Neurospora crassa OR74A: one gene and its partners. The protein of the gene in region 1 binds, or shares a complex with, the protein of each later gene. Links are inferred from orthologs where the notes say so. Each region holds a gene or a part of one and is shown in the gene's direction. Other genes may lie near its edges. The genes, in order: NCU07560, NCU02757, NCU08552, NCU17114, NCU04336, NCU06469 and NCU06768.

What was found.
Region 2: NCU07560 (region 1) and NCU02757 share a complex: the UniProt entries of both Schizosaccharomyces pombe proteins name them as parts of the mitochondrial large ribosomal subunit. The link is inferred for Neurospora crassa OR74A from reciprocal best matches to the Schizosaccharomyces pombe genes mrpl17 and rml2.
Region 3: NCU07560 (region 1) and NCU08552 share a complex: the UniProt entries of both Schizosaccharomyces pombe proteins name them as parts of the mitochondrial large ribosomal subunit. The link is inferred for Neurospora crassa OR74A from reciprocal best matches to the Schizosaccharomyces pombe genes mrpl17 and mrpl38.
Region 4: NCU07560 (region 1) and NCU17114 share a complex: the UniProt entries of both Schizosaccharomyces pombe proteins name them as parts of the mitochondrial large ribosomal subunit. The link is inferred for Neurospora crassa OR74A from reciprocal best matches to the Schizosaccharomyces pombe genes mrpl17 and mrpl39.
Region 5: NCU07560 (region 1) and NCU04336 share a complex: the UniProt entries of both Schizosaccharomyces pombe proteins name them as parts of the mitochondrial large ribosomal subunit. The link is inferred for Neurospora crassa OR74A from reciprocal best matches to the Schizosaccharomyces pombe genes mrpl17 and mrpl19.
Region 6: NCU07560 (region 1) and NCU06469 share a complex: the UniProt entries of both Schizosaccharomyces pombe proteins name them as parts of the mitochondrial large ribosomal subunit. The link is inferred for Neurospora crassa OR74A from reciprocal best matches to the Schizosaccharomyces pombe genes mrpl17 and mrpl12.
Region 7: NCU07560 (region 1) and NCU06768 share a complex: the UniProt entries of both Schizosaccharomyces pombe proteins name them as parts of the mitochondrial large ribosomal subunit. The link is inferred for Neurospora crassa OR74A from reciprocal best matches to the Schizosaccharomyces pombe genes mrpl17 and mrpl16.

The regions. Positions count from the first base shown.
Region 1 is NC_026503.1:4,356,747-4,361,374, forward strand, and holds NCU07560 (50S ribosomal subunit L30), read left to right. Parts: upstream 1-1,279; 5' UTR 1,280-1,626; coding exon 1,627-1,663; intron 1,664-1,809; coding exon 1,810-2,582; intron 2,583-2,671; coding exon 2,672-2,968; 3' UTR 2,969-3,533; downstream 3,534-4,628. Other genes in the region: NCU16690 (hypothetical protein), read right to left, coding at 307-630; NCU07559 (hypothetical protein), read right to left, coding at 4,064-4,628. UniProt on the Schizosaccharomyces pombe protein: Component of the mitochondrial ribosome (mitoribosome), a dedicated translation machinery responsible for the synthesis of mitochondrial genome-encoded proteins, including at least some of the essential transmembrane subunits of the mitochondrial respiratory chain.
Region 2 is NC_026501.1:3,454,915-3,459,418, reverse strand, and holds NCU02757 (mitochondrial 54S ribosomal protein RML2), read left to right. Parts: upstream 1-1,471; 5' UTR 1,472-1,855; coding exon 1,856-2,828; intron 2,829-2,890; coding exon 2,891-2,964; intron 2,965-3,028; coding exon 3,029-3,133; 3' UTR 3,134-3,502; downstream 3,503-4,504. Other genes in the region: NCU02758 (G2/mitotic-specific cyclin-B), read right to left, coding at 73-84. UniProt on the Schizosaccharomyces pombe protein: Component of the mitochondrial ribosome (mitoribosome), a dedicated translation machinery responsible for the synthesis of mitochondrial genome-encoded proteins, including at least some of the essential transmembrane subunits of the mitochondrial respiratory chain.
Region 3 is NC_026503.1:4,951,131-4,955,020, reverse strand, and holds NCU08552 (mitochondrial 54S ribosomal protein YmL38/YmL34), read left to right. Parts: upstream 1-1,478; 5' UTR 1,479-1,775; coding exon 1,776-1,790; intron 1,791-1,874; coding exon 1,875-1,959; intron 1,960-2,272; coding exon 2,273-2,568; 3' UTR 2,569-3,087; downstream 3,088-3,890. Other genes in the region: NCU08553 (DNA directed RNA polymerase II 15 kDa subunit), read right to left, coding at 3,438-3,482, 3,548-3,637. UniProt on the Schizosaccharomyces pombe protein: Component of the mitochondrial ribosome (mitoribosome), a dedicated translation machinery responsible for the synthesis of mitochondrial genome-encoded proteins, including at least some of the essential transmembrane subunits of the mitochondrial respiratory chain.
Region 4 is NC_026506.1:2,292,276-2,296,133, forward strand, and holds NCU17114 (hypothetical protein), read left to right. Parts: upstream 1-1,619; 5' UTR 1,620-1,908; coding exon 1,909-1,921; intron 1,922-2,052; coding exon 2,053-2,169; intron 2,170-2,592; coding exon 2,593-2,642; 3' UTR 2,643-3,148; downstream 3,149-3,858. Other genes in the region: ala (alanine aminotransferase), read right to left, coding at 420-537; NCU03974 (hypothetical protein), read right to left, coding at 3,458-3,858. UniProt on the Schizosaccharomyces pombe protein: Component of the mitochondrial ribosome (mitoribosome), a dedicated translation machinery responsible for the synthesis of mitochondrial genome-encoded proteins, including at least some of the essential transmembrane subunits of the mitochondrial respiratory chain.
Region 5 is NC_026504.1:3,732,843-3,736,537, forward strand, and holds NCU04336 (mitochondrial 54S ribosomal protein YmL19), read left to right. Parts: upstream 1-1,850; 5' UTR 1,851-2,019; coding exon 2,020-2,160; intron 2,161-2,228; coding exon 2,229-2,564; 3' UTR 2,565-3,099; downstream 3,100-3,695. Other genes in the region: NCU04337 (survival factor 1), read right to left, coding at 1-266, 349-564, 629-651. UniProt on the Schizosaccharomyces pombe protein: Component of the mitochondrial ribosome (mitoribosome), a dedicated translation machinery responsible for the synthesis of mitochondrial genome-encoded proteins, including at least some of the essential transmembrane subunits of the mitochondrial respiratory chain.
Region 6 is NC_026503.1:1,524,728-1,528,641, forward strand, and holds NCU06469 (putative mitochondrial 54S ribosomal protein MNP1), read left to right. Parts: upstream 1-1,416; 5' UTR 1,417-1,634; coding exon 1,635-1,835; intron 1,836-2,102; coding exon 2,103-2,432; 3' UTR 2,433-2,966; downstream 2,967-3,914. Other genes in the region: NCU06468 (midasin), read right to left, coding at 1-831; NCU06470 (hypothetical protein), read right to left, coding at 3,176-3,914. UniProt on the Schizosaccharomyces pombe protein: Component of the mitochondrial ribosome (mitoribosome), a dedicated translation machinery responsible for the synthesis of mitochondrial genome-encoded proteins, including at least some of the essential transmembrane subunits of the mitochondrial respiratory chain.
Region 7 is NC_026502.1:2,003,331-2,007,196, reverse strand, and holds NCU06768 (mitochondrial 54S ribosomal protein YmL47), read left to right. Parts: upstream 1-1,996; 5' UTR 1,997-2,232; coding exon 2,233-2,673; intron 2,674-2,757; coding exon 2,758-2,899; intron 2,900-2,968; coding exon 2,969-3,135; 3' UTR 3,136-3,270; downstream 3,271-3,866. Other genes in the region: NCU06767 (replication factor C subunit 1), read right to left, coding at 1-1,141, 1,205-1,246, 1,303-1,348, 1,411-1,516; NCU06769 (activator 1 38 kDa subunit), read left to right, coding at 3,684-3,770, 3,831-3,866. UniProt on the Schizosaccharomyces pombe protein: Component of the mitochondrial ribosome (mitoribosome), a dedicated translation machinery responsible for the synthesis of mitochondrial genome-encoded proteins, including at least some of the essential transmembrane subunits of the mitochondrial respiratory chain.

The DNA.
Region 1 (4,628 bases):
GATCTTTTCAATGAACAGACATGACTTTTTTTTTTTTTTTTTTGTTGCATTTTGGTCATCGTTAAGGAACTTGGACTATGTAGTGTAGTCCACTGTTTCCGGCATTGCGCAAGGTGTGCTGAACAAGTCGGTTGATAACGTGATGACTGCTCATTCTATTCTTGTTCATCTTTTTTTGATATTCCACTAACTTGTCCATCCATTCTGATACGTAGCCTAGTAAAGATTTGGAAAGCTTGTCCGAACGCTAGCAAGGAGGCAGGTCTGATAATTCTATGAGATGAAGCACGCATATGTATATCGTGATCAGCGACATGGATGGTGGAAATGAATATTCTGAGCTGGGCAGTATGTGCATTGCGGCGTAGCTGAGACTTCAGTAGATGTGGCCGTGCTTGATCGCGACATTGACCGGAGTGACGACAAGCAAGTGTCGGGGATGGAGAACGATCCATGAATGATCTCAGGAAGGTTCATATCCAAAGTCAAGGAATGAATCGACAGGACACCAAGCAGCCAGACAAGACGCGTGCCACAAAAACGAGGCTTGAGAAATTCGAGACGGGGAAGCATTTCACGAAGTGGCAAGAATAACACTTTCAAAGAAACCAGCCCCATCTTGACTTTCATCTAGCGAAGTCTCCTCACACGTAGTGTACATGCCATGGAGAAGGAGACTGACTGACCAGACTGACTGGGCCAAGCTCATTTCTCAGAAAGAGCAAACACACACACACACACACAAGACAGTCTGCAGTATTATTACATACATACAATGCAAAACCGTCACGAGAGTTCGCAGGAGAAAAATATGTAAGCAGATTCTATCTAACAGCAACCCGGTAGAGCGTTTATAGGCAGGTACCGCTAGCGAATTCGTCTGCTCATGGTGGTTCCTCTCGGCACGGACTAAATGATCAGGACAGTTTTGGAGGAAGAGAAACGTCGTGATGATAAGGAATGGTGCCTTGAAGAAAGAAAAAAAAGAAGAAGAAGAAGGAAGAAGAGAAGGGGAGGGGGGATTGGTGGCAGTTTTATTGCAGCAGTTCAGTTCAAAAGTTTGCTGGACCCGCTTCGGTCAGGTGAGTGGTCATGTGGGGTCGTAGGAGCCGTGAACCTAACTGAGGACGTGAAAGTTATGGTGGGGTAGGTAGCGGGGGGGATTGGTTTTGGAGAAGAAAAAGGGAAGCTTTCGAAAAGGGAAGGCGGTGAAGGAAAGTAAATCGGTTGCCAAGACTCAATTGTTCAATCGCGACCAGGAACGAAACGAGCAGGGAGGGGACCTGACTGATCGGTGCGCGGCGGCAGCGCGGCAGGCGGGAGGGCCCCAGGGAAAGAGTGGGGCTGCGGACATCGAAAAAGTTCACGGCCGGTTTCCCGCGCTGTGTGTCGCCCGTCCGTCCGCTCTGCCCTGCCTGCCTGCCCGCCCGCCCGCCCGCCGCAGCGACCGACCGACCGACCCCGTCCCGCATCCACCCCGAGACTTGCGAGAGAGAGAGAGAGAGTTGCGTTGAGGATTGGCGCGCGCGCAAGATTCACCCGTCCTCCCTCCCTCTCCCCGTCCCGTGTCCCGTTGTCTACACACCCGGGCCCCGTTCAACAACCAAGTCATATATACTGCCCATCATGTCGGCGTCGAGTAGGGGAGCTGCTCTCCTTAGGAGTATGGACCACTTTTTCTTTATCTTCTTTTCGTATCGTCAACTCGTTACGAATTGGTGTTTTCCATGCATGGCTTCCGATCGCAAACTTTAAGCTTAAAGACACCATAACTAACCCGTCGCAATCTGTTCTTTCTCTTCCTTCCAGGCCAACAACGGTCCATCTGCCTACAATGCCGCAACCAAACCCGAGTACTTGCGCCCGCCGGCGTCACCAGCGCACCTAGACGTTTCTACTCCGCCGAGGCCTCTGCCACTGCCACTGCCACTGCCACTGCCACGACCACAACAACACTACCCCCTCCTCACCCGCCCGTCACCACATCAACAGGCACCCACGCCGCCACCTCGACCTCGTCGCAAATCTACCGCATCAAGTCGGGCGTGATCCTGACCCGCCCCCCGCTGCTGACGCGCGACCTCACCCCCTTTGAAGAATCCTTTTACTTTTACCAGAAGCGCCTCAACGAGCGGCTGACGGCCCCCTTCCGCAAGGACTTTTACTTCAAGAAGGACACGGCCGCCGACCTGGACTGGCGCATCAAGCTGAAGGAGCGCCACGGCGTGCCCGCCAAGGACATTGGTCGGTACAACCCGCGCGGCCGGATGGCGTGGAACGACGAGGTGCTGGTGGGGTCGCAGACGTCGTCGAGAAAGCACATGGTGGAGAAATTGCTTGCCGACGCGGAGATGCGCGTGTCGGAGGATGGCGAGGAGATCCCCGCCGAGGACCGGGTCCCCGTCGAGAAGCCGATGCCGAGACGGACGGAGGCGGATGAGAAAGGGGATGTCAAGCGGTTGGATCGCGCGCTGGACAAGACGCTTTATCTGGTAGTCAAAAAGAAGGCGGACAAGGAAGGCGAGGAGGCCAAGTGGATGTTCCCTACGGGCGTGGTGCCTACGGATGAGGGGTTGCATGAGGTTCGTTATATTCCCTTTTTCCCCAACCCAACTTCCAACCATTTTCCAAAACTCGCGGCCAACTAACCTTTGATGATGACGATAAACAGACCGCAGCCCGCATCCTCGCCGAGTCCGCAGGCGTCAACATGAACACGTGGATCGTCGGCCGCGTGCCCGTAGCCCACCACGTCGTCCGCCCCGTCTTCGGCCAGAAGGACGGCGCCCTGCTCAAGAAGGGCGAGAAGATCTTCTTCCTCAAGGGCCGCATCATGGCCGGCCAGGCCGACCTGACCGACAACCTGCATGATCTGGTCGACTTCAAGTGGCTCACGCAGGAGGAGCTGCGCAGCACGTTGGCGGAGGAGTACTTCCACAGCGTCAAGGGCATGTTTGCTGAGAGGTGAACAACACAACACAACAACACCCTATGTAGCCTGGTCTGGTGAAGTGAAGTATGGAAGAACAAGGTTGGAGAGGTGATGATGAGTCGATGGTCGAAGTCGGTGAGACTACACCATTATCTTCCGGGGAAATAGAATGGGGAAGTGCAGTGGGTGGCGGAAGAAGAAGAAGAGAGAAGCATGTGTACAAATGTATTGATATCAAAAGATGGTTTTAGTCGGTCGGTGGCAAGGTACAATTGTTGTTTATGCGCTGAGTAGACCTGGACCGCCCCCTAGCCGAACACAATCAAAGGTCTCGAGGAAGAGAATCAGAGATGGTTTGGAACTTGACTTGACAGTTCAAAGGCCTCGCACGCCTCAGCGTACTTGACCAGGCCGAAGCCAAGCTCGCATGCCATGTCTGCAAGAAGCGGGCGAAGGCTGACATGAAGCACAGGGACGAGAGAGGGTGTTGTTTGTAATGTAAAAACATATGCTGTGTATAGAGATTTGGGATGAAGATGTCATACAGGATGCGAGATGGTTGGTGAATACTACCAGACATCCGCTGGGTTGGTCATACCGCTATCTGAGGTGAAGTCTGATACTAACATACACAAACAAGACAGACTGAGCTAATCACATATCTGTGACCCGATTCTGCATTAGAGACGTGGATAGGTATGGCAGTGACCTCTTCAAGATCCAGCCTTGATCAATGATGAACACCGGTTCTCCCGGCTTGAGACACACAGTCAAAGCTTGTGCCAGCCGCAGACCAAAGCAACGGTACTTTTGAGCTGGTTGAAAGTCCACACCACGGCGGCCTGTAGGATATCTTCACACGTCTCCTACGCCTCCATCAGGACATCCTCCTTGATCATCCATATAAGGCCGTTGGCTTACACCTCTAGCTGGGACACTTCTCGCGCGCGTACCAGTGGTGTACTCCTCCATTCCTCGTACATCATTAACAAATTACTTGTTGGCATTACCACACCACACACAAGTCAAGTCTCAAATCTCCACCCATCTGAAAAGCAATCTGAATAACACACAAATCGTGCCCAAAGCCCACACAAAAAGGAGCTCATACAGGAGGTCCCGATGATCATCCTAGAGATTCCGAATCCGGGACTTTCTGAGCGGAATCGAAGTGGTGAGCGCCAAAACTTCACCGTGGTCAAGGACCAATTTGTTTCCAAACTTTTCCCAGAAAACTGCCTCCCACGGGGGGAGACGATGAACCTCAGGTGCCTCCTGCTTCTCTTCCTCCTCCTCCTCCTCCTCATCACTGCCGTCACCGAAAACACTGGGCGGGGTGTCAACCATGCTTCCAGTCATACCAGAAGCGACAGAAGAACAAATACTTGACCGACGACTGATAATGCTGTTGGGCGCAAAGGGATTGAGCGTGAAGAAAAGCTTGCTTGGTTTTACCGTCTTCATTCTCATGCTCCCGCACGTCTTCTCGGGCCGAGTCTTGCTCAGCCACTGCTCCTTCTGCAGCTTCTTAGCTGCAACCTTGAGGAATGCGAGGTTGGAATACCAGCCGTAAAGACCGTGTTCTTCAGCCATCTTGTTCTGGTATTCGAATCCTCGTACTGGTGTGACCCCGGGTCCTCCCTCTTCCTCTGCGGCAGAGATGAACTCAATTGAAGGCTTGTGCCCGTGGAACGAG
Region 2 (4,504 bases), on another chromosome or scaffold:
ACAAACATAGCATGGCTGTGGACAACCAATTGCATGATTGAACGACAATGCCAACTGTGCAGTAAAACTTACAAGATTCGGCATTCTCGCCTAAACCTATGCTGGCACAGAAATTGATGTGAAATGTGTCTACTGACGGGGAGGTCAGCTAGCTATTTGGATGTTTCGTTTTTGGCGAAGTTCGAGGTGGAGAGACTGGTTCTTATTGAAAGACCGATCCCTGTCACGGAGGGAGGGTTGACGCGAACGACGAGCGAACGACGAGGGAATTGTGAACACGGACAGTCAATGAGACTAGACGCACCGACTACAGAGCCCAAAGATGTCGGGAAGAATGAACACCGGCGGTCGGCAGTGATGTCGCTGTCGGCACGTTGTTGAAGCCGGAGATCAACCCTGGGTCCCGCAACAGAAGGTTGGCTGAGACCGTGAAGGATGTGCTGTTGTTGATCGGGAATGTTGCCCAATTGGTGACGACGGTCGGGGCAAAGCACGCAATGGCGACGTCCGGAAAGATTGACTGATCGAGGCCAAGGGTTGCCGTCGTGATGGCAAGGCCTTGCGAGTCCAGGTGATGCGGAGTGGGAATGCTAGTTGGCGGACGGGAAAGGGAGGTATGATGTTTACGAGGCAGAGAAGAATGGGAGTCTTGTTTTTGCGAGGTCTTGGTGGAGGTGCCAGTGCCAGTGCAGCCCAGTGGATGGGGCTGGAGTGCCAGTGGACGGAGCGGGCGTGTGGACACCCACCCAGGTACCGGATCGGACGTGCTGGGACTGGGGCAAAGTACCTCTAGTGCCCTTCGAGGTCACTAGTGCAGCGAGGCTTTGAAGCTTTGAAGTCCAAGACACCGGAAAGGGAACAAAATTACCACAACAAGTGATGACGCGCCGTGCAATATGGGCTTCTGTCAGACGCACGTCTTGCTGTTCCCTGCCTTGCTAAGTTGTCGAATGATGAGGATGCCGTTGTCGAATAAGCAAGTCGAAAAGGTTGTACTGCCGAAGAAATGCAGGCTTCAATGGCCGGAGTCGAAAGTTGCTGTTGTTGCTGTAGCTGAAAGTCGATTGTCGTGCGTCCAGGGAAATGGTTGTTAGTCGGATGGTGAGTGTCGAGTTGCAGAATCCGGAGTCGAGAAAGCGGCCAGGAAATTGTACTTGGGCCGGGCGCTGTTATGGAGCACTGCAAGCAGAAGGGACAAAGAAGGGTCGCACCTCAAACACGCAGTGAAGGAACTGAAGGCGGCAAGGCCACCACAGGCCACGTCCCTCCCTTGCTGTCATCCGCCCGCCGTCAGGGCAACACTGGCAACCGCAGGGCAATTCGGTCAAATCAGCTTCTGATTGGTTTAAACTGTCCAACAGGCTGCGCGTGTCCAGCAGCTGTCAACACTAAGGTACCTTACCTATCCTGGGTCAGACGCGACTGGAACCTTGGGCGGGCAGGAATGGAGCACGATGCACGCTCTTTCCCCGCGCCGCACTGCACCTTCACGCGGTGATGACTTGGTGCCTTCCTCCCGCGCCCGCGTTTTGGAGCGCTGTTTGCAGCACTTGTCCCCTGGAAAGAAACAAGGCTCTTCACCAAAGGGCAGTGGCTGCACCACACAAGCCACACTATTAGCAGCCACAATCGTCAGGGATCGCAAACCAATGCACGGCTGTGATTGGCGCATCAGCCGAGCAATTTTCCACAAGCAGTTATCGACGACAAGCCGGCGACGAGAACCTCGACGAGCAGCCTGCGAGGACGTCGCATTCCGGTTGCTGGAAATCGCAGCAACTGTCCCCTCCAGCACCCTCACCTCCCCAGAGCTCACCGCCAGGAGCTTGGGATATCCGACAGCGATCGAGCAGCCATGCTGCAGCCTCAATTCCGACCCCTCCTTGCGGGGACAGCTTCCTTTGCCCAAACCGTGCTGGGCCGCACCGTCGCCAGATGCTATGCCACCAAGGCCGCCACACAATCAGCAAGCAGCACCAGCACCAGCAACACCAGCAAAGATGCCAAAGCCAAGATCGTCACTCCCTACGTCCGGGACGCCGGCATGATGAGAACCTACAAGCCGCACACGCCCGGTATCCGTCACTTGAAGCGCCCGATCAACGACCACCTGTGGAAGGGCCGGCCGTATCTTCCTCTTACCTTTCCCAAGAAGGGTCAATCTAAGGGTGGCCGTAATCACAGTGGTCGCGTCACCGTCAGACATCGCGGTGGTGGTCACAAGCGAAGAATCCGCATGGTCGACTTTGAACGATGGATCCCCGGTCCGCACACAGTCCTGCGCATTGAGTACGATCCCGGTCGCAGCGCGCACATTGCGCTGGTGAAGGAAGAGGCCACAGGGAGGAAGAGCTATATTGTTGCGGCGGATGGTATGAGGGCTGGAGACGTTGTGCAGAGCTACCGGTCCGGTCTTCCCCAGGACCTGCTCGATTCTATGGGTGGTGTCGTTGATCCTGGTATTCTGGCTGCGAGGACATGCTGGAGAGGCAACTGCTTGCCTGTGTCCATGATTCCGGTTGGAACCCAGATCTATTGCGTTGGCTCCCGTCCGGATGGCAAGGCTGTTTTCTGCCGCAGTGCCGGAACATATGCAACCATTATTTCCAAAGAGGAGGAGACCCGTGAGGATGGTACAAAGGTTATGACGGGCAAGTTCGTCAACGTAAGACTGCAGAGCGGAGAAATCAGAAGGGTCAGCAAGGACGCTTGCGCCACCGTTGGTATTGCCAGCAACATTATGCATCACTACAGACAACTGGGCAAGGCCGGTAGAAGCCGTTGGCTCAACATTAGGCCTACTGTGAGAGGTTTGGCGATGAACGCAAGTGAGTAGACTCCCAGAACAATCCGTTTGTCAAGCGAGCAAAACCAACTAACGGCCTGGTAGATGACCATCCTCACGGTGGTGGTCGTGGTAAGTCGAAGGGTAATAGGCACCCTGTTTCTCCTTGGGGTACACCTGTAAGTCATGCCCCTTTATTTCCTTCCTTCCTCTGAACAGACGCCTTACCCTCTTTTTCTGTAGGCCAAAGGTGGTTACAAGACTCGCAGAAAGTCCAACGTCAACAAGTGGGTGGTTACCCCCCGGGTCCGCAACATGGGAGTCCGGAGGAACAAGAAGACTACATGAATAAAATAACCCACTGTGCTCAACTTGGGCTATATACCCACCATCTTGTACAATATGTAGTGAAACTTATTCATTTGCTCGCAGGCCGGCAGTTCGAGGGCTCAGTATATCACCGGAAGGATGCCATGTGTGGGTATTGGGCCCAATAACATCGTCTGTTGGAGATCTGCCGTGTTTGTCTTTGTTTTCCACTTTCAACTGAGCAACTCTACGGCGATGTGGTTCAGGGCCCGGCCAAGGCCGTGACTGTGCCTATAAATCGGCATACGACTTCAGGAATGTACCAAAGACTACACATGGGGTTTGTTAGACTCCGTTGTCATATACCGACCCCAACTTAACAAATTTTTTATTGATTTATTTACTTATAAAATTTGTTTAATTTTCCTAAAAAAATTAAAAAATTTTTTTTTCCCTTTTTTTTTTTTTTTTTTTTTTTTTTTTTTTTTTTTTTTTTTTTTTTTTTGCGTTGATTATAGACAACAGACTACAATGAAAGAAACTGAAGGCGTTTGGTCATTGGAGTCGGTCGAGTTGTCCAATCACATTTTGCGTTCATCTCTTCTGCAAGGAGCAGAATAACAATGCCGTCCCCCTTCGCCCTTTCAGATCTGCTACCGGTTCTGTGAACGCCATCCTGAAAAAAAAAAAAAAATAGGGGCGTAAATAGCCGCGTGGGTAGACCTGAGCGCAGCGAGATTTATATGCATTCCAGCGGTGGTATCTTTACAGTGGTTGACTGTGTAAGGGCATATCACGACAGCGTCTCGGTATGCGCCCGCAATTCGGCCATACATACAACGCCATGAAGGAACGAGGGTCGACAAAAGGCAAGCATAGTCTCATCTCCATAGAGGTATACCACAAGATCAACGGGGGTGATGAGTACACTATTTGAAGCGTCTCTTCGGTGGTTTGGGCAGAGTTTAAGGTTTACGCCATTCTTTTAGTGTACATACTATTTCACAACGTTTCGCTCGTTCAGGGCAGTCCCCTTTGTACTTCTGGAGATTGAATGGGATCGATGGAATCGGTAGTTGTACATTAACTAGTAAGGAAAACTGAGTGCGCCACCATGTCTGGTACCTCACGACCCCGACAGGTCGGCACAATAAATATATACCTAGGTACCTAGGGTACATCGTACTTCTCTGCGGTGCTTCTCACCCTACACTAAATGAGTTAAGATGCACTAACATGGAAAAGCTGGGGAGTAGGTAGGTACCTATGGTTGCCCCCATACATACCTCATCCATGTCGGGTAGCGTTAGAGGTACGCGGGACTGGGGTTCCACTTGGCTAGGGGCCACTGCCTAAACCACCCCCCTGAATGATCTAGATTTCCAGGTTGTTACAAGATCGTTGGTTTCG
Region 3 (3,890 bases), about 590 kb from region 1:
GGCACACTCTTGTTTCCGTCAGCAATTGAGAGCTGAAGCTGACCGCAAAGTGAATGAATAGTGCACTCTCTCGGCCTCAGGTCTCACGATGTGTGTCTGCAACGAAGCCAAGTGCAGCCAATGCGACTCGACAGTGGCTGACAATGACAGGCGCAGTCAAGTGATGGTGGTGGTGGTAGTGGTGACAGCCAAGGTCACAAAGTATTGAAATTCAAGCTGAAGCTGCAGCTTTGATCGAAAGGGACAGACTTGTTGTTGTTGTGGGTGGTGGTTGACGGGAGGACAAGGACGTGGTCGCGAATGAGGTTGCAAAGAAGGGCGGGCGGGCGGCCGAACCCTTGAGAAAGCTGAAGAGCTGAGTGGGAATGACTGGGGATGGAGGTCAAGCTTGGGTGAGGGTCCTTTTGCGGTCCGAGTCTTGTTGGTGGTTGGTCGGACTCGGGGGGAAATGGAGTTGGAGTGGTCCGGCGAGGCGGGTTGCCGTCATATGTATTCTTGTACTTGTTGTCTGTCTATGAATTCCTGAACTCAAGTGTGAAAGTGCGAGGAAACTGCAAGGTGGTGCGGGCTTCTTGCTTTTGGCTGCAGGGATATGAGGCAATAGCCTTGTTTGAGGGCCTTGCTATTTTACCTGGAGCTGTAACAGGAAGAACAGCAACAAACCGTTTGGTGGCAGTGAAGCTGAGGTGAGAATAAGCTGAAGCTCAAGGTAAAACTGCTCAAATCGATTGGAGAACAGGGAAAAAGGGGACGAGCAGAAACAAAACAAAAGGGGGCCCGGCATTGCAAATCTTCGCCTCTTTACTCCTCTTTTCACGATCCCACCTGTTGCCGTGGTAGCGGTGGTCTAGCCAAATTCCGAAAGACACAATTGGAGAATCAGCCGACGGGGGAGCGGGGACTTGGGGGAGAGTGGGAGACACCATCCTGGCTGGAGCTTGGTTGCGCCGAGGTTGTCATTGGTGGTTTGGGTCAGGGCTGATGGAATGTTTCTAACCAGATGGGGATGTTGCTAGCAATGGACGACTTGAGTCTCAACGATCATCTGGGGTACGCTTTCAGAGATGGGTACTGTATGTATATCGCTGTCTAACTTGCCTCTGGAGTCGTCGGGTAGAGATACTATGACAAGCTGTTTGCAAGCTGACTTGAGATGGTACATGCCCGGGCTAGCTGTCTGATTGTGTCCAGAATGGCCGCACTCATTATCTTCCTTGACAAATACAGACGATTCAACAGTTCATTGTCCAATAATGACTTCTCATAAAATGTGCTCATTGTTAAACTCTTCTTAACATCAACTACGGTCATTGAGTCCTCACATGTTCTGTTGCTGATGCCTCAGACTCTCACACTTTCAGAGCTTCAACTACAGCTACTTCCCGAAAGCGTTAGTGTAGTCAAAAAAGCAGCTATGTAAAGAGCATGCATGAGACACCCCTCCCGACTGGCTCCACACTCTTCGTCCAAGTTTTGGCGCGTCCCCTTCTTCTCTCTTTTCTCGCGTTACTTAGGAGCCTGCTTACCTAATGCAGGGTACGTACCTCTAACCTGGCATCCCCGTCCCGCAAACAATTTTCGATGGGGTCCCCGCGTCCGGCGGGCACGACGGACAGCAGCCGGCCGGCCGGTCATCAATCAATCAATCAATCGATCGATACGCGGCGTCAACCGTGGAATCCCCATTCAGTTGCCGGGTTTCGGTCCTCTCGACAGCCAACTAACTTCAGCCACTACTCGCTCGGTAACAGGGACAGAGTAACCGGTTGCCCAAGATGATTCAACTAAAGGTTTGTTTTTTTTTCTTCTTCCCTTGCTGTCGAACGAAAGCAAAAAGAGTTTGGTTGCTAACGAACCATGCGAACTGCAAACAGACGATGCTCAACTGCATCGACAACTCGGGTGCTGCCCTGGTGGAATGCGCCATGGTTGTCGGCCAAAAGAGGCATGCTTCGATTGGTATGCTTTCGAATTCCCTTTCGATTTCCGTTATACACCCACGAACCCATCGTCGACTCGAGCATATCATATCTACACGAACTACCCGATCCCTCTTTCGTACCCCAACACCAACACCGTCGTCGCCGTTCATACCCGTCCCATCCCGTCCGATTCTTCTCGTCCGACCAAGGAACATCTGGTCTTATACACATATCATACTTGCCTCTTGCCCCTCTTGTTCCTCCCTCCCCCTTCTTTCCCCCCTCTTGTCCCCCTCCCCCTTCTTTCCCCCCTTCTTTCCCCTCCTCATACCTCAACTAACAGAAGAAAGGCGACCGCATAGTAGTAGTCGTCCAAAAACAGCGCGGCGCCGACTCGGCCGGCATGGCCGCCTCTTCGGCCGCCACCAAGGTGAAGCGCGGCGACATCCGCCACGCCGTGGTAGTGCGCACCAAGCAAAAAGTCCAGCGCCGCGACGGTTCGGTCGTCCGGTTCGACGACAACGCCTGTGTCTTGATCAACAAGGCCGGCGACCCGATCGGATCGCGCATCAATGGTGTGGTGGGCCAGGAACTGCGAAAGAAAAAGTGGAGCAAGATATTGAGTATGGCGCCTATGCAGGCTTAGCTAGGCTTGATTGATCGATCAGGGAGGATATATGTACGATGGATGTAGCGGGAGAATCAAGATGGAATGAAATATGAATACCCGTAAAGAAAAAGAGTTGAGTTTGTTGGGGTGGGATGTGGCGTGACGCTCCTTGAAGTGAAGAGGAGTATGCTCGGTGGGATGTGTCATTGCGGTGACTTGGTGACTCTCGTGGGGGGTTTGGGTGTCGGCTCAGCTTGGGTTGGCTGTGTTGAGGTAATGACTGACGATGAGCGCTACGGAACATCACTTTGTTGATATCTGACGGAACTGTGGTTTGTGTGTCTACGGATTTCCAGGATGGACTTGGGATGGCCTGGCGTATACGGGTTTGAGACTGCGACGTTGTTCTCAAGGTACGACGGCTTCACACACCGGACATCACACCAAAATATGGTCTCATCGAACGGCCTTTCTTCAAGCGCCATTTTGGGTAACGATCAGCCAGCAGCAGCCGTCACATCAGTCGATTAGGTTTACCAGTCACTTCAGTTCGGGACATCAAGCGTGCCGTCCTAATCTGTGTATACTACTGTACATTACATGTCATGTCAAGCAAAACAACATCACCATTGCATATCACACGAAACAGTTTATAACGTTATCCACGAGATTCATGGAAAGACCATTTCTAAACCAGTGTCCTGCCAAAGCATGAAAAAGAAAACCAAACGCCCTAAACCGCGGTCCTTTTGAGTTAACCGTGTACAAACGCCACTGTAATGCAACTCATCATGACCCCCTGATCTTTATTAATCAACCTGTGATTTTTTCCGACCGCCCGCCTGTCCGCCTATAACAAGGATCGATCTGGCCCTATTCCTTCCGAGTGAAGAGTGAATCCCCCACTACTGGTAAATATTACCACAATCGCAGCAGACGTAGAAAAGTTTCTGAAAGTAACGTTGTTAACCCATGACTCTGGTGAGCCCCTCCCAGGCAGGTGAGTGAGTCTTACCATTCCGGTTTCCGAAGTACGCTGCTGTGACTGGAAGAAGACAGCTTCCGGGTGGTGGCAGGCAGGGCATTCCTTGATGGCTCTTGGGAGCTAGATAGCAAACGAAAGAAGAAAAAGAAGAGATTAGTCTCGATGCAAGCCAGAGCAAATGACAAGAACAAGCCAAATCCAGGTCATCGCCTCGCGGACCAGACCCCGCCACCAGACGGACGGAGACTTTTGGGTATGCGCTGTGCTATGCTATGCCGTGCTGTGTGCCAGTCGTGTCGTGTGTCGGGTGCTGTAATCCCGAAGGTGGGCGAACAACCGCGCCGCCATGATTATAGATGTATTATAATCCTGA
Region 4 (3,858 bases), on another chromosome or scaffold:
TTTTGGCTGCAACTCTCTGTGTGTGGTGTGTGGTTGTGTTCGCGTGGCTTTGCCGAGATCGGGGATGGTGATTCCCGTTGTGGGGAGGAAGGGGAGACAGGGAAATGGGCAGGTGGCGGTCTGGGGATGGAGTCTCAGGATGTAACTTGGATCATGAACTCGAAGCGACAGCAAACACCTGACATTGGGGAATGGGAAAGTGAAGGCAGATGGACAGCTGCGGTTTAAGCAGGTGCCAAGACCGTTGCAACGGAGAGAGTTGCAAACGCGGGGAAAGAAAGTTGGGGAAGTTCGGGACAAGAGGAAGCAACGGTACGTTCGGGAAGGTGAAAGCGACGCAATAAAGCACATCGATCCGCGTCGGTCGGACGAGAAACTCGCGCCGCTTTGGCGAATGGCAAGGGTTTGGTGATCCTTACCTCCGCATGTCGCCGGACCCCACGCCGACTGCTGAACAGGGATTGAATAATTTCTCACGGCCGCGCTCGGCAGCCGGTGACGGGCGGTCTTGAGGGCGTTTGACAGTCCGGCAGCCATCGATGCGATTGTCGATCTCTTTCTGATGAAGTGTACGTATTGATGGATGAGGGGAGGAGGGTCTCGATACTGCCGGGTGGGGGGGGACAGGACTCCCGGAGATGCCGTCAAAGGTGAACGGGAGAAGAACTTGTCGTTGATGGTGCGCTGACTCGCTCCGAGAGTACCGAGAGGACGGGATGTGATTTAGGGCTGAGTCCAGTTTATGTCAGTTGGGTTGGGTTTTCAAACCGCATTCGACACAGCAGACGCAAAGACACTATGAATGGGGGGGGGGGGGGGGGGGGGGAAAGATAGCACGCAGAAGAACACACGAACTTTTTTTTTTTTTTCTTTTTTTCATCAAATGTAGCAACCCAAACTGAACTAATGAGCTCCGAAACAGGAGCACGGAAAGCGGTGTGGTCTAGAACTTTTTGTTACAAAAGAGTCTTCGTTCCGGTCCGGTTTTGCTCCCGCGATCCATTTCTGGCGGGGTCGCAGAGGTCCGAATCGAGACTACAGTCTTGGTACAGTATGGAGAGTCAATCAAACAAATGCCATATTCTGATTCGGACTGCTATCCGCCAGACGAGGCGGTATCGCTGAGCTGTTTCGTAGCCGCCAAGATAAGCTGCTGCTGTGCTGTGCTGCCTGACAAGCCAACGTTAAATCCGGGCCGTTGTATTCTACCTCTAGAGGTAGCTGCGGCATGTGTAGGACCAGTGGACTATATCTAGTATCCAGGAACTATCCTTTTCGTCGACTTACACAGTTCCCTTCCAGCGCCTTGTTGGCGGGACGGGCATGATTACAGCCACAGTGCTGTCAACGGTCACCATGTTGAAATTACGGTACACAAATATCAAATTTATGTTCTTGAATACATCTCTCTCAGTGTACAAGCCCAGCAAAGGTGTTGATGTTGTCAATAAATTTGTGTGAGATGTTCTGATAGATATCACGCCCGTTGTGTTTTGGCCAAGGCCTCTGGGGTTCCTCGGTGAGCTCTCAGCTCACTACACTCAGCTTGTTCCTCACCTTGCCTTCACCGATCCTACAAGTACACTAAACCGCGGGCAGCCACCTGCCAAGCCCAGCTAGGAGCGCACACGACCCACCCACAGCCCCACCACGGCCCACGCACCCCCGGCGGGCCGGCAGGCAAAATCTACAATCGCAATCGCAAGAAGCGCGGACGACCCGACGTCGATTGGAGAGCTTCCGGCGCAAAGACCGTGCTCCGTGAATCCGCCCGCCCTCCGCCCGCAGTTTGCGAACCTCTCCGTCCGGACGAGCCCCAGCCCGTCGCCCGTCGCCGTACCGCACTTGATCCAGTCCAGTCCAGGCGCGCCGTTGCACACCACAACAGCGCAACAAAAGTCGTTCAACATGGCGAAGAAGGGTAATCGACTCCATCCTCACCCGTGTGTCTGCAATTACTGCTTTGTTTTCCTAAAGGGAAAAGCGATGCAATGGGGAAACCGGAAACCGAAAACAGAAGACGATAGTTGCTGATAGGTAAACAACAAACAGCCAAGTCCCGCATCATTAACGTGCGCCTGATCTCAATGGCCATGACGGGTTATTTCTACACCTTCACCCGTCCCCGTACCTCGCTGCCTATGAGCATGCTGAAATACGATCCGATCGGTATGCGCATATCCTCTCCCCTCATTCCTATCTACCTCTTTCGCTTCCAACCACCTACATGATTGATTCGGCGGACACGACGACACGGGCATGATATGGAACTCTTTTTGGTTGCGGGCTTTCTCGATTTGCACGATTCGAAACACCCCAATACGCTTCGTCGAACGGACCTTGGGAAGCTCGCTTGGGACTGGGACTAGGACTGGGATCAGGCTGGGACGCAACAGTTCAAAGACTCGGACGATGGCATAACGTACGGACCTTCGAGAAAAGAAAAAAAAAAAAGCAACCAGCCAACCAACCGGCCAACAGAGAAGAGAGGAGGGGACGGAAGAAACACTTGCCTACGACAGACAATTTTTCCCAATCACGGATCTCGAAGAGGAAGGAATACCTACTAACCCTTTCGCCTCTCCACCATAGTTCGCCGCAAGGTCCTCTTCCTCGAACAGAAACGCAAGGGCAGGTCATAGATCGTTACTCGCCCCCGGGCCTAACGACCGTCGAACGACCGAGAGCCAGAGCGAGAACGCGGAGCCTGCGATACGGAATCAAAGAGCGTAGCGGCGAAGCAGCGACAAGTAAAAAGCTACAGCACCCCCTCCACGGATTACCACGTCACACCAAGTTACGATTTCGACCGGGTTGTGTTTCAAGCAGATCACCAGCAGACAATGGCCAGTGCTGGCGAGTGAGTTGGAGCTGGAGCTGGAGAGGGGGGTGGACCGGACCGGAACTGGACTGGATATATGGAGAAGAGAGGCGCAAGAATAAGATGGGGTCCCTCGTTCCATCCAGTCTCTGGTCGTGTATTATTACTGTACCACCGATCCATCAGTATATAACATCACCCTGTGAGTTATGGATTGGCACCATGGAGCGTTTGTTGCTTCTTCGCTCTACCGATGGGCCAGGTTGATTAGAGAATGTACAAGTCAAGAGATAAGCACAACGCCCCTCGGCCGTCGGCAATGCTGGGCGTGACCCAGGTTCACTGCCAAGTGGCTCTCCCTTCTCTTGTGTTGTGTGGTAAGGATAACTCTTCTATCGCGATCAGACAGTCTGTCATGACACCTCGACATCTTTGACTTTTCTTGCCATCGTACATCGCTTTATCTCATCTTTCTATATTTTCGTGGAAATCAAACTTTTCATTAGTCACAAGACCCGTCTCCCAACATTTTACAGGCGTTCTTTCACACTCTTCTCGTCGTATACATATTGAATCTCAATTCATTCGAAACACAGTCTCCAATCCACACAAATACGCCATGCATCGACATATGGATCATAACTTATTCCCAGGCGGAGGCAGAGGCAAGTCATCTCCGTCTTCTTTGTTTGCATTCTGCGAGAGGGTCATGGAGTCTTGGGTCTCATCATTGGCGCCCCCGTATCGCGAAAGTGGCTGGGACTGAGACCGTGATTGGGACTCGCCGTTCGTTTGACTGACCGAGTTGGTGTTTTCCGCAGGATCAACGGACCTTCTACTGCCATAAGTTCGAGTCGGTGCTGATCTGGGTGGCAAAAACCTGTTGGCACCGTTCATGACCTCGGGTAGGAGGCCAAATGAAGGCTTGAAGTTGATGGAAATCAATCCGTTTTCAGAAGGCTCAGAGCCTTCGCTCAACTTATCCAGGGCGTGACGGCTTCGGTAAATCCGTTGTGGTCGTACTATTCCGCGAGTTC
Region 5 (3,695 bases), on another chromosome or scaffold:
ACAGTGTTGTGCCGGATGTACCAATCTTGAAGCCAGGCGCTGTCCTCTTGATGGTCACGTTGACAATCGACCTTTCATCGTTCAACGACTTGATAGTGTACGAGTTTCCATCTTCCGAAAGCTCGACGGCGCAATCGGTGGCGTAGAAGCTGGTCTTGTCCTCGCTGAACTCGTGGTTGTTGAGGGGCGTAGAGCACCAGAGGTGGGGCTTGGATCCATCCAGGGAGAAGACCTTGCAGTTAAACTGGCAAGTCGTGCGGATGCCACTGTTGTGCCATCAGGTCAATACAAGGCCCAAGTTTGCGAGCGCGCCACATTGACGGCGAATCGTGCAATGGGGAATCTTACGCAACGTTAGAGTAGATGACCTGGGCAAAGGCGAGCTGGCCGCTGTCCGTCATGAAGTAGAAGCACTGCGTCTCGACGCAAGTGGACTCCATGGCCTGCCACTTCAGGTCATCCTTGGTGGTTTCGGTATAGGGAGTTGTCTTGGCCTCCTCGGCGACAGACCTGATAGCCTCGGGGCCGTAGATAGGCTCCTTGGTGCCGGCGACATTGGCCAACCTACAAGCGAGTCGTTAGAGGTCTGCGTCCAGCGGATGGTGGGGGTGGTGCTTGGAGTACTCACGCCGCTTGCGCCCACTTGAACATGATGAAAGACTGGGGGGGGGGGGTATAGGGCGAAATGGGAAGAGTATAGATTACAGAAGCAAAAAGTCAAGACAACGAGGCGAAAATGAGTCTAGTTGTGAGAATTTTCCAGGTAGTTTGATGTTCAAGATTAAAGTCATTCACCGCCGTCGAGAAAGATGGGGCAGAGCTGAGATGGCGCCGCGCTCAGATAAAAGCCAATGGAAAACAGAAGGGGCAACCCAGTCTGTCCCAAATCTCCTACAAGTACGTACCTTTGGGCTTCCCCGCGGCCGACTGCCTCTAGCCGTGGCCCTCGATGCGTGGCAGTCGAGCAGCAAAGAAGACTCACTGGCTCTTGAAGGTGCACGTCACTGTTCCGCCCAACTCTCCACATCACCTGAGGACTTGACGATCGATTGGACCCTTTCAGGTTCCTACAGCGGGTCTGCAATCACTTGGAGCGTTCAGGTTTCGCAATGCTGTGTTCCCTTGCAGACTTGCAGCAGCTCGAACGCACCTTTGCGGCAGGGCAGGCGGCAGGCAATGACGGGAATGATCAATCCAAGTCACGCCCGGTACCCGTACTACGCCCCCACTTTTTTGGGACTCGCAAATTCGCACCCACCTAAGTGGGTGCTTACGAATAACACGGCCACACCACTAAAACGGCCACCAGGGTTAGAGGTGCGAATCAGATAAACGATACCAAAATAGTGAACGCCCACAACGTATTTCAACAACTAATTGAGAATAAAGAAAGAGTTAGAAGATAGTCAGGACAGAGTAATGTATCCGTTCAGCTTTTCATTTTTCAGAAATTTCTATATGTTGGGAAGTTGTGCTTTACCCTACGAATCGAGCCTCAAAACTGCACCTCTAACCCTGACCTGGCCGTTTTACTGGTGTGGCCGTAGTACCCGTGAGCACCCACTTTAGGGGGTGCGAGTTCTACGAGGTCCAAAAAAGTGGGGGCGTAGTACGGGTAGGAGAGCAATTGGGGACGAGCGAGGCCGGGACTTTCAGTTGACGGGCGGGCTCGGCGTCGATGCTGTACTAGTACTACTGTAAGCCACTAACGGCACTGAAAAGCGGCGATAAGGGACTGATTGCGGCACTTTACACTAAATAGTGTGTGGCTGAGGCTTTGAAGAAGTGGCTGACGTGACCCTGGCTGCAACGGTTGCCGGCCCGGCGCCCTGATTTTTTTTTGGGCCCAGCTTGAGGTGCCGCGCGCGGCGTCGCCGCCGCCGTTGCTGCCGCCGTCGCGAACGAGGATACCCGACCGACCTCGAAAGTGTAACACGCGACTGCAGACGCGCCGAATTACCGTTCCGTTCTCCTCCCAACTTAATTTCCCTCGAGGGTATCTGCAGTAGAGTCGCCAGAATGTCCAAGGCCGCAAAAGGTGGTGCTGGTGGTGTTGAGCAGGTGGTGAAGCTCATTGTCGGCGCCGGTCAGGCCAGCCCGAGTCCCCCGGTCGGTCCGGCCCTTGGTTCCAAGGGCATCAAGTCCATGGACTTTTGCAAGGTCGGTTTGCATGCGCCCACCCATATAATATCCACAACACAAGCTGACATGCGCTCAAATCTGTATAGGAGTTCAACGCCAGAACCGCCCATATCAACACCGGTACCCCTATGCCCGTCCGTGTTACCGTCAGGCCCGACCGCTCGTTCCACTTCGATGTCCGCACCCCTCACACATCATGGCTTCTGCTCAACGCCGCCGAGGCCCCGATAGGCAAGGGCGGCAAGAGAAAGGGCGCCAGCAACCCCGGCAAGGAGGTTGTCGGCACCGTCAGCCTCAAACATGTCTACGAGATTGCCAAGATCAAGCAGTCCGAGCTCCGTCTATCCGGCCTGCCCCTCGAGGGCCTCTGCAGGGCGGTCATCTACCAGGCCAGGTCGATCGGTATCAACGTTATCCCCTGAAAGAGGCTATACGCTGAAAGACATTATACGGGCTTGGGGGCACGAAGGCGTTACGGTTGTTTCTTTTAGGTGGATAGACCACGGCATTGTTACCAATATTGGATGCGGACTATAGCCATAGCTTGTGGCTCTGTGTATCTTTGCTTGTATCATTATTGTATGGCAAAATCTCAAAATGCACAGCGGTGCCTGGAGCTGTTGGTTGGTCCACGGAGTATGATCGTTTGGGAAAGGCTTCCACAAAAGGGTGCTGATGGCAGGCATGGCATATATGGGCATTTGCCGGTTTGCGTTTGCATTGCCTCAACGTACTCCAGCTTCGTCAACCTTGGCTCACATAGCTTGTGTTTGTGGAACACGCAGGCGTATGACGAGGATCTGTCTCTGTAGGATTAAGTTTTAAGGTTGGCGGTCACCAAGGTAGACCGCCCAACGGGTATTATGCTTACCTGAATGTAGGTGAGATGTGTTTATAATGCTTTTGGCTAAGCTGACTGCAAGACAAATCACACACATATATAAAAAGGGGTTTTGTAAACAAACATCCGCTTCGCCCAAGTGCTTATCCACCAGCCCACTTCTTACCACTCAGGCGAAGCCCCGGTATCATGTCGCCATGGTGTTCATCTCATGCTTTCAATACTAACGAGATGAAATGGATGATTGTTTAATATCCTACACGTGTGCAACGATTGCAATTACATTCAATGGCTTCTAGAACCATTCGGGCAATTACCTCCCGCAGCATGGCGGGGTATCGACATGGGTTACACCGAACCGAGCGATAAGGACCTGGTTTTCGGCGGTAGAGATCGACATAGAAAGCTGTTTACCATATCCGTTGGCAGTCCATCGAAAAAAAAGGTTGGGTGACATCAGGACAGTCACTGGAGACAAAGCTGACCACCAACACCACCTAGACTTGTCATCCATGCCTTTGCGGTGCCTCGGTCTTTCGGACACGGCGGCGCTCTAAAAGGCCGCTTTGACGGTGGTCGGGGCTGCTGCGGGATTCATACTTGACTCTCTGTTGTTCAGTTGAAACGCAGGGCAACGAGGATGACAGCCAAGGACGCAAGGCACAACCGGCTGAGGTGTTCACTCGAGTCATTGGGTGAACTGCCCAGTGTT
Region 6 (3,914 bases), about 2.8 Mb from region 1:
AACTAGAGGAGTGAGGTTCTGTTCTGGGATGTTTGTGATATTCAATTCGACAACCGCATCGTCAACCGCACTAGTTTGTTGGGATTTACTGCGAGAGCTCTGAATGTCTTCACGTCTAGAATCCTCGTGTAGGCTGAGGAACGCATAGTCGGCTTCGCGCCCGTCGAGCTCTGCGACAAGGCTGGTATCTTTGGGTATGTGCTTTTCGAGGAGGGCTTCGATCTTGACATCGGCGGCATTATGAAGCTGGCAGAAGATTCGGACGGCAAGATATCGGACGATGGGGTTCTCGTGTGCGAACAGGGTCTGTATTTGGGATGGCTTTGACAGGCCGGCGTAGGTGCGCTTGTCAAAGTTGTTGAGCCTCCAGAGGGCTAGGAGGACAATTGGGAGGTCATCTGGGCGGATCGAAGCTAGGTCAAGGGAATCGAGAGGTTTAAGTTTTGAAGAAGCATCATTGTCGTTGCTTTTGTCGTTGTGGTTACCACCATTAACACCACCAAAAGATCCTCCTCGAAGATGCGACACGAGGAAGACGGACAGCGACGGGGCGAAGGGCAAGATCCTTGCGAAAGCGGCAAGGACTCGCGTATCGAGTTTTGGAGAAGACAGAATCCATCTGGCGCAAATATCGGCAAAAACAGACTCGAAATGGGTAAAGATGCGGTCGGTGGCTGTCGAGACAAGAGCGGCGCTGGCGATCGCATCGAGGAATTTGGTCGATTGGTGATCCTGGATTATGAGCAGCAACTCTGGCGGCAAGAGGTCCAAGGTGGTCGCATCGCTAAGGAGCGACGCCCTCTGCTGGCTCACATCGATCACGGCCATCATGGCCAGGGAAAAGCGACGGGACGGGTTGGCGTGGATGTCGTCGTCGTCGTCGTCGTCGTCGTTGTGAAAAACGGTGATGTTTTTCTTAGTCTCTTTTTTTTTTTTATCTCTAACTTTTTTGCCCATTGAACTTCGCTTTCTCCCGTTTGGAACTTTTTCCCACATGAAATTCCTTATCGCGCTGAACGATAGTGCGGGGTACATGCTACTTAGCGCTAGGCGCATGTGCTGGGGTGTACTGCATAGTACTCTACATAGTGTAGTGTAAGTCGGCTGCGGCAGGCAAGGGAGCCATCTTCTTCAAAAGTGGAACCTAGTTCCGGGTGGGACGAACAGCCCAGCGGCAGCAGGGGCGCGCTTGGGATGACAGGGGCCCATCCTTTAGCGCGTCTTCAGTGGACTTCAAGGTACAGAGGTACCTAATCCCCAGACTCGCGCGGGGCAGGCAGCTTGGGTTTTCCCCTCCAGCTGCAGCTCCGGGTCAGCCAGCCGTCATAGATCCAACTTGCACGCCCAAACCACCAAGCTGCCAACTGCCAGTAGTGGGTCCCAGATTTCGCAGCACCCGGGAGCGCGCGACAACGTCCCCAAAAAAATATCTCCGTTTAGTTGTTGTACGGTTCGGTTGTACGATCCTCGAAGTCGACGTCGACGGCAAGCCTCCCTCACCAAAAAAAGAGAACCCCAATCCGACCGCCCCCGCGCGCCCTCTCTCTTTCCTTCCTCCGGTCCGAGTCCGACTCCCCTCTCTCCATCCATCCATCCACACAACCCACCACCACCAACACACACACATACCAACAATGTCTCTCTCGGTTCGCTTCGCCGCGCAATGCGCCGCCCGCCAGCTCCGCGCATCCACCCGGGCCTCGAGCTCCCTCCTCGTCCAGAAGCGCTTCGAGTCCACCGCCGCCCCTGCCGCCAACCCCAAGATCGCCGCCATTGTTGACCAGATCAGCACCCTGACTCTCCTCGAGACCTCGGAGCTTGTGTCCAGCCTCAAGGTACGCCCGATTTAAATAAAGCACGAGAAGAAGAACAACCGGGGCCGGGAACCGGGACACACAAAACCCGAATCGGAGCATGTTTCAAGGTTTCCGGATGTTTTTGCGCCCCGGACCCGACCCGACCCGACCCGGCCCGGCCCCGGACAGACAGACAGACAGACAGACCTATCTTATACTACCTAGACTCTCAAGTCGCACACATGTACATGGGCACCAACACTAACACTCACTCTCTCTCTCTCTCTCTTCTTTTACACAAAACAGTCCCGCCTCAACATCCCCGATCTCCCCGTCGGTGGTTTCGCCGCTGCCGCCCCCGCCGCTGCCCCCGCCGCCGCTCCCGCTGAGGAGGAGGAGGCCGCCCCTGCCGCTGCCGAGAAGACGCTGTTCACGCTCAAGCTCGAGAAGTTCGACGCCGCCGCCAAGCCCAAGGTCATCAAGGAGGTCAAGAACCTGCTCGGCCTCTCCCTAGTAGAGTCCAAGAAGTTCGTCGAGAGCGCGCCCAAGGTCATGAAGGAGTCGGTACCAAAGGAGGATGCCGAGAAGATTGTCGCCGCCATGAAGGAGCTCGGCGCCACCGTCACCATGGACTAAACTGCTGCTTCTGCCTAGTAAAAGGGTTGGTTGCTATGGTTATGGTCTCTGTGTGGTGGTGTGGTGGGTGGAGGCGCCGTGTGTGTGTGTGTGTATGTGTGTTGTTGTTTTGTAGGATGGTCACGTCCCTCCCCCGCAGAAAAAGAACCAAACGAGGAGATCTTTTCCTGACACAGATGCCGGAAAGATATTTTCTTTTTTTTTTCCTATAATGATGATCATGACGGGACAGAGTTGGAAGAAATGCCAGGGCCTTGGGAAACACATAAAGGGGGATTCTCGGTCTCATCTACATTATATCCTCATGGGGAAAGGGGGGGAGTGGCGGACACAGATTCCTCACAACAACATATACCACTTGTACGTGTACAAAAAGCAATGAAACATGTAACATTATATCATACTACGAGAACTGGGATGGATAGAAGAACGGGTTGTCAGCGAAAACATGAGAGTCTGTCGACGATATTACCGTGAGCAGATGCCGCTTCTGAGTTAATAGTATCTCCCCACTTTCGCTTATGGATACCGAAGATAACTAAACAGCCAAAAACATAAACGCCATCCCATGCATACCCCATGTATCGGTAACTTCCTTGTTTCTTATTCTCAACCTCCTTCTCCTTGCCTCCTTCAATTTTCTTCTTTCTATCGCACTCCTACCAGCGCGCCTCTTGTATCCACCACCCGTGTCATTCCTACTGGTCTTGAATTCCCAGGTTCTCTTCTCCTCCGTCGGTTTCCTAACCCGAAGTCATCTCCACATCTTTATCTTGCTTCTCCTGTTGCTCCTTTTCCAGCTGCTGCAGCTGCTTCCTCCTCGCCATCTCGGCAATCTCCCCACTAATCGACATTGGCTTTTCCTTCATGTTATTCCCATTCATACCATCATCCCTCTCACCCCCGTTACTGGTAGAGGTAGTATGCCCACACCCCGCACCACCACTCCCTCCAATCCCTCCAATCCCCGCCTGCAAACTCCTCTCCCACTCCTCCTGCTCTTCCCATATCGCCCTCATGTCGTCATCCCCCAACTCTGACGTCTCCTCCAGCAATCTATCCAGCTCGTCTCCGCTCGGCACCGCCCAGATGTTCTCCCTCAGCCTCTTATGCCGCTCACGATCCTCCTCGATACGTTGCTCAACTTGTTTCTTGTCGAGACGAGGGGCGGCAGTGTTGACGCCTCCGCCGCGTTTGCTCAAATTGCTATGCTGTTGGTTGCTAGAGGAAGGTCCGCCGGCGGCATTGGTGGCGTTGGTGCTGGTGGGGAGGGTACCTGCTGCTGCTGTGGAAGAAGATGGAGGAAAAGGAGGAGGGTAGGAGGAAGAGTGGATGGCGGTTTGCGAGGGGGGCATGTTGGTATCGTATCCCGATGCTGCTGCTGAAAGGTTGTTGTTGTTGTTGGCAGAAGGGGAGAGGACGAGGTCCCCTTGGGAGGAAACGTAGGATTCGCCGCGTTCGCGGAGGACTTCAAAGATGTCG
Region 7 (3,866 bases), on another chromosome or scaffold:
ATCTAGCCTCTCGGCCTCTTCACGCACCTTCTTCTCTTCCTCCTCCCGCTTCTGCTTGGCCTTCTCCGCCCCCTTTCCGGTGCCACCACCGGCGGGCATCGTCCTGATGAGGTAAAACAAGCCCTCCTCATCAATGGTCTTGATCCCATGCTCTTTGATCTTCCTCAGCTTGCTGGGTCCTGCATCGTCGCCGAGAACGACGAAATCGGTTTTGCTGGATGGCGCTCCTGTGACCTTGCCACCATAGCGCTTGACGAGTGCTTGGGCTTCCTCACGCGCGATAGTCTTGAGCAGGCCGGTGAACACAAAGGTCTTACCCGCCAGACAATCAATTTCACCTTCAGGAATGTCGGCAGTGCCCGCCATGGGGGGTGGACCCGCATTGCCAGCTCCGGCGGCCTTGGTCTTCCAGTCAAACTTGACGTTGGGGTCTTTGGGAGGAGCATCTGGTGCTTCAATTGTGGGAATATTGTCGAGGATCTTCTTGACGTCCTCGGGTTCTTCAACCGCCGCATCCTTCTTTGCCCTTGGCGCACGGGGCTTAGCGGGGGCTCCCTTCTTCTTCGCTGGCTTGACTTCTTCTTCCTCTTCGTCTTCCTCGTCACTTATAACAACCGAGGATTTCCGCTTCCCTGCCGTAGTAGTTGTAGATTTCTTGTTCGGCTTGCTGGGTCCAGGCTTGACGTCTTCGTCGTCAGACTCGGCTACGGCTGCTGTTTTGGCGCGAGATGCCATTCGCTTGGGCTTGGGGAGGAGCTCCTCGTCACTGTCCTCCTCGGCATAGTCGTCGTCCTTTTTCCTCTTGCTGCCACCCTTGAATTCCGCCGCAAATATGTCCTCTCCAGCATCGTGCTCATCATCCATGTAGGCATCGCCATCGTCATCCTTGTCGTAACTCTTGTAGGCCGTCGTGGGTTTCTTCGTAGTCGAGGTCTTCTTTGTAGTAGTCTTGGGAGGCTCTGGTGCTTTGGCAGCGGGGGTGGCTTTCTTCCGCGGGCTTGTTCGAAGCGCTACTTTTGGTTCTTCTGGCTCGGGTTTTGCGGGTGTCTTTTTCGGTGTTGACTGGGACGCAGCAGCAGTTTTTGTTTTTGAGGTTGCAAAGTACTTGGCAGCATCGGTTTCAACTCCTTTTACGGGTTCCCTAGATAGTCTGTCAGCAGGAATAGGATGACATGGAACTGAGAGGTGTTTCATAAACACTTACGCTACTTTCTTCTTTGGCGCAGCCTTGGTTGGCTTTTTGACTCTACACATGCTGGTTAGATGCTAGTTCTGAGAAGAGATGCTTTTCACTAAGCTTACTCAACAACCTCGTCATCTTCGCTGTCCTCAACAACCTTTCTTGGCCCTGCGACAAGATTGTTAATATAACGTGATAAGCTTGTGATGGCGATCATGGTTCAAGCTTACTACCCCGGGTCTTCTTCTCCTCTTCCTTCTTGGGTGCTGGTGTTGCCGGCTTAGCAGGCGGCGCGCCACCTTTTGGACCAAAAAACGAGCGAATGTCGGCAGGCATGATGGAGTATGTGAGAAGAAATCACTGGATACAAAATGATAAATTGAATGTGTCAAAAGGTTGGGAAGATGTAACAATCAGATGACACCAGCAAGCATCTTCTTATAGTGGCGGAGTTGGGAAGTAGGGACTTTTGTTCTTGGTGTCTGAGTTGTCCAGGCAGCTGTCCTTCTGCCTAACAAGTGTTGTTGAACAAAAGGCCTAGAAGGGTAAAGAGCTAACGGGTCGACTCTTGTCCCTTGTAAAGACGGAAGTAACAATTGAATGATGAGTGAGACGCGAAGGTGAAGTGGATGACGCGAGTCTGTGTCCGGGCTCTGCTCCCCTGTCGCGACTGGTGGGGCCTTGTCCTACAAGAATTCGCCAACTTGCTGCCTTGAGCTACGCCCACGCAGCTGTATTTCTTGTGAGGAGTCAATGAATGAGTCCCAGGTCCCGCTTGTCTGCTGTGTCCGGCAGATTCCATGTCGCGGCCGGCACCCGACACTTTTTGGTGGGTCACAATTTTTGGAAGTGCCGTCCGTGCCCCGTCCGCGCCCGCAGCACCTTCCATTGCAGGTAGTCGCTCTGCCCGGTCCCCGTCTCTGTGCGCGCGCTGCTTCGGGGAATCCGTATCAATCGTCGTCGGCGACCGGCATCCAATTGGACCCTCCCTCCGTCCTCCGTCCACCACTCGTCCCCTCCCCGGTCCGGTCCACACCCAAACCTTCAACACAATGAAGCACAACGCTTCCTCGGCGCTCCTCAGCGCCTTCCAGGGCCTTAGGATATCCTCGTCGGCGACTCCCTTCCGTGCCGCGTCGCTCGCAACCTCTGCCGTCCGTCGCCCCATTGCGCCGACCCCCGTTTCCGTCGCCTCCCATGTCCGCCTATTCTCTGCGACCGCCATCCAGGCTGGTTCGTGGCTCGAGCCCAACCTCAACAGAAAGAAGAAGATGATGAAGGGAAGGCCCAGAGTGCCGACGGGTGGTTCGACCAAAGGAACAACAGTGGTTTGGGGAGATTACGGCCTGCGCATGCGCGATCACCACCGCAGAATTAGCGCCCAACAGCTCAAGCTCGCCGAGGACACCATCAAGCAGAGGTTGCGTGGTCAGAAGTACCGCCTGTACAAGCGCGTTGCTTGTAACGTCGGTGTGTACGTCAGCGGTAACGAGGTGAGCAGCTGAACAACCCACAGCCCGGGAAGGCCGGATGCCGACTGTTAGCGGACATGAGGCTCACATGCATTTCCGGTGTAGATGCGTATGGGTAAGGGTAAGGGTTCGTTCGACCACTGGGCGACCAGAGTTGCCGTCAACCAGATTATCTTCGAGATCAGGGGGCAATTGCACGAACAGGTCATCCGTGATGCCTTCCGTTTGGCCGGACACAAGCTTCCAGGTAATAACAGCACATGCTGGCCCAAAATCTTTGCGAGGTTGAGAAGAGTAGAAAACTGACAAGTCATAGGTCTGTACGAGTTTGTGAAGAAGGGTGACCCACCAGTGGTTGGCATCACCAAGTTGGAGGATGGCCTCACGGTGGAGGACCTCAAGAACCCAAGGAAGAAGTTGTTGATGCCAGAGATTACCCAGAGTGCTGCGAGCACATCAAGCACTGCTGCTCCTCCTTCGTAGAGGTGGAGAACCCTGAGCCTATTCTAATTGTAACACTATGTAGAACAACAGAAGGGCCAATGTGCAAAAGAGTGTTGCCATGGCCATTTCATGATTATTATGACGACGTAACAAGCATCACCACTTTGATTTCAATGCTCTGAGAATGTGTCCGTAAGCTACTACCAGTTTACCTGGATGGGCCAGAGCACCACATCGAGTCAACAAGCAATGCTGGCTTCCTAGATATACCCTTTCAACCATGCCATGAAATGGGCCCTATACTAGATGTCGGTTCATGGAAGATCCAATATCCAGCATCGGACGTTGCAAAACTCAAAGAGATTCAAGATAGCTGCCTAGAATACTGATGGCGAAAGTGGGCAACTGTCTACCCCAGGGCCTGTATAAGCGGGTGATATGGTCCGTGCGGCCATCCCCCGTCATCTGTTAATTGATTTTCTGGACGGCGCGTCAACTCGACGCGTCTCCCATGCACCTCCAATCCAGCATTTCTTTCCCCTTCCGTTGTCAACCCATTTTCCTCTCCACAATATCACCACACCACGATGGCGCTTATTGTTGACAAGCACAGGCCGAGGTCTCTCGATGCCCTCACCTATCATACCGAATTGTCGGAGAGGTTACGGTCACTTGTAAGTAGACCCTCTTGTTCCCCTCGTGCAAAAGAAGCTCCCCGCTGATGACACTCCTAGGCGCAAAGCGGTGACTTTCCCCACCTCCTCGTCTAC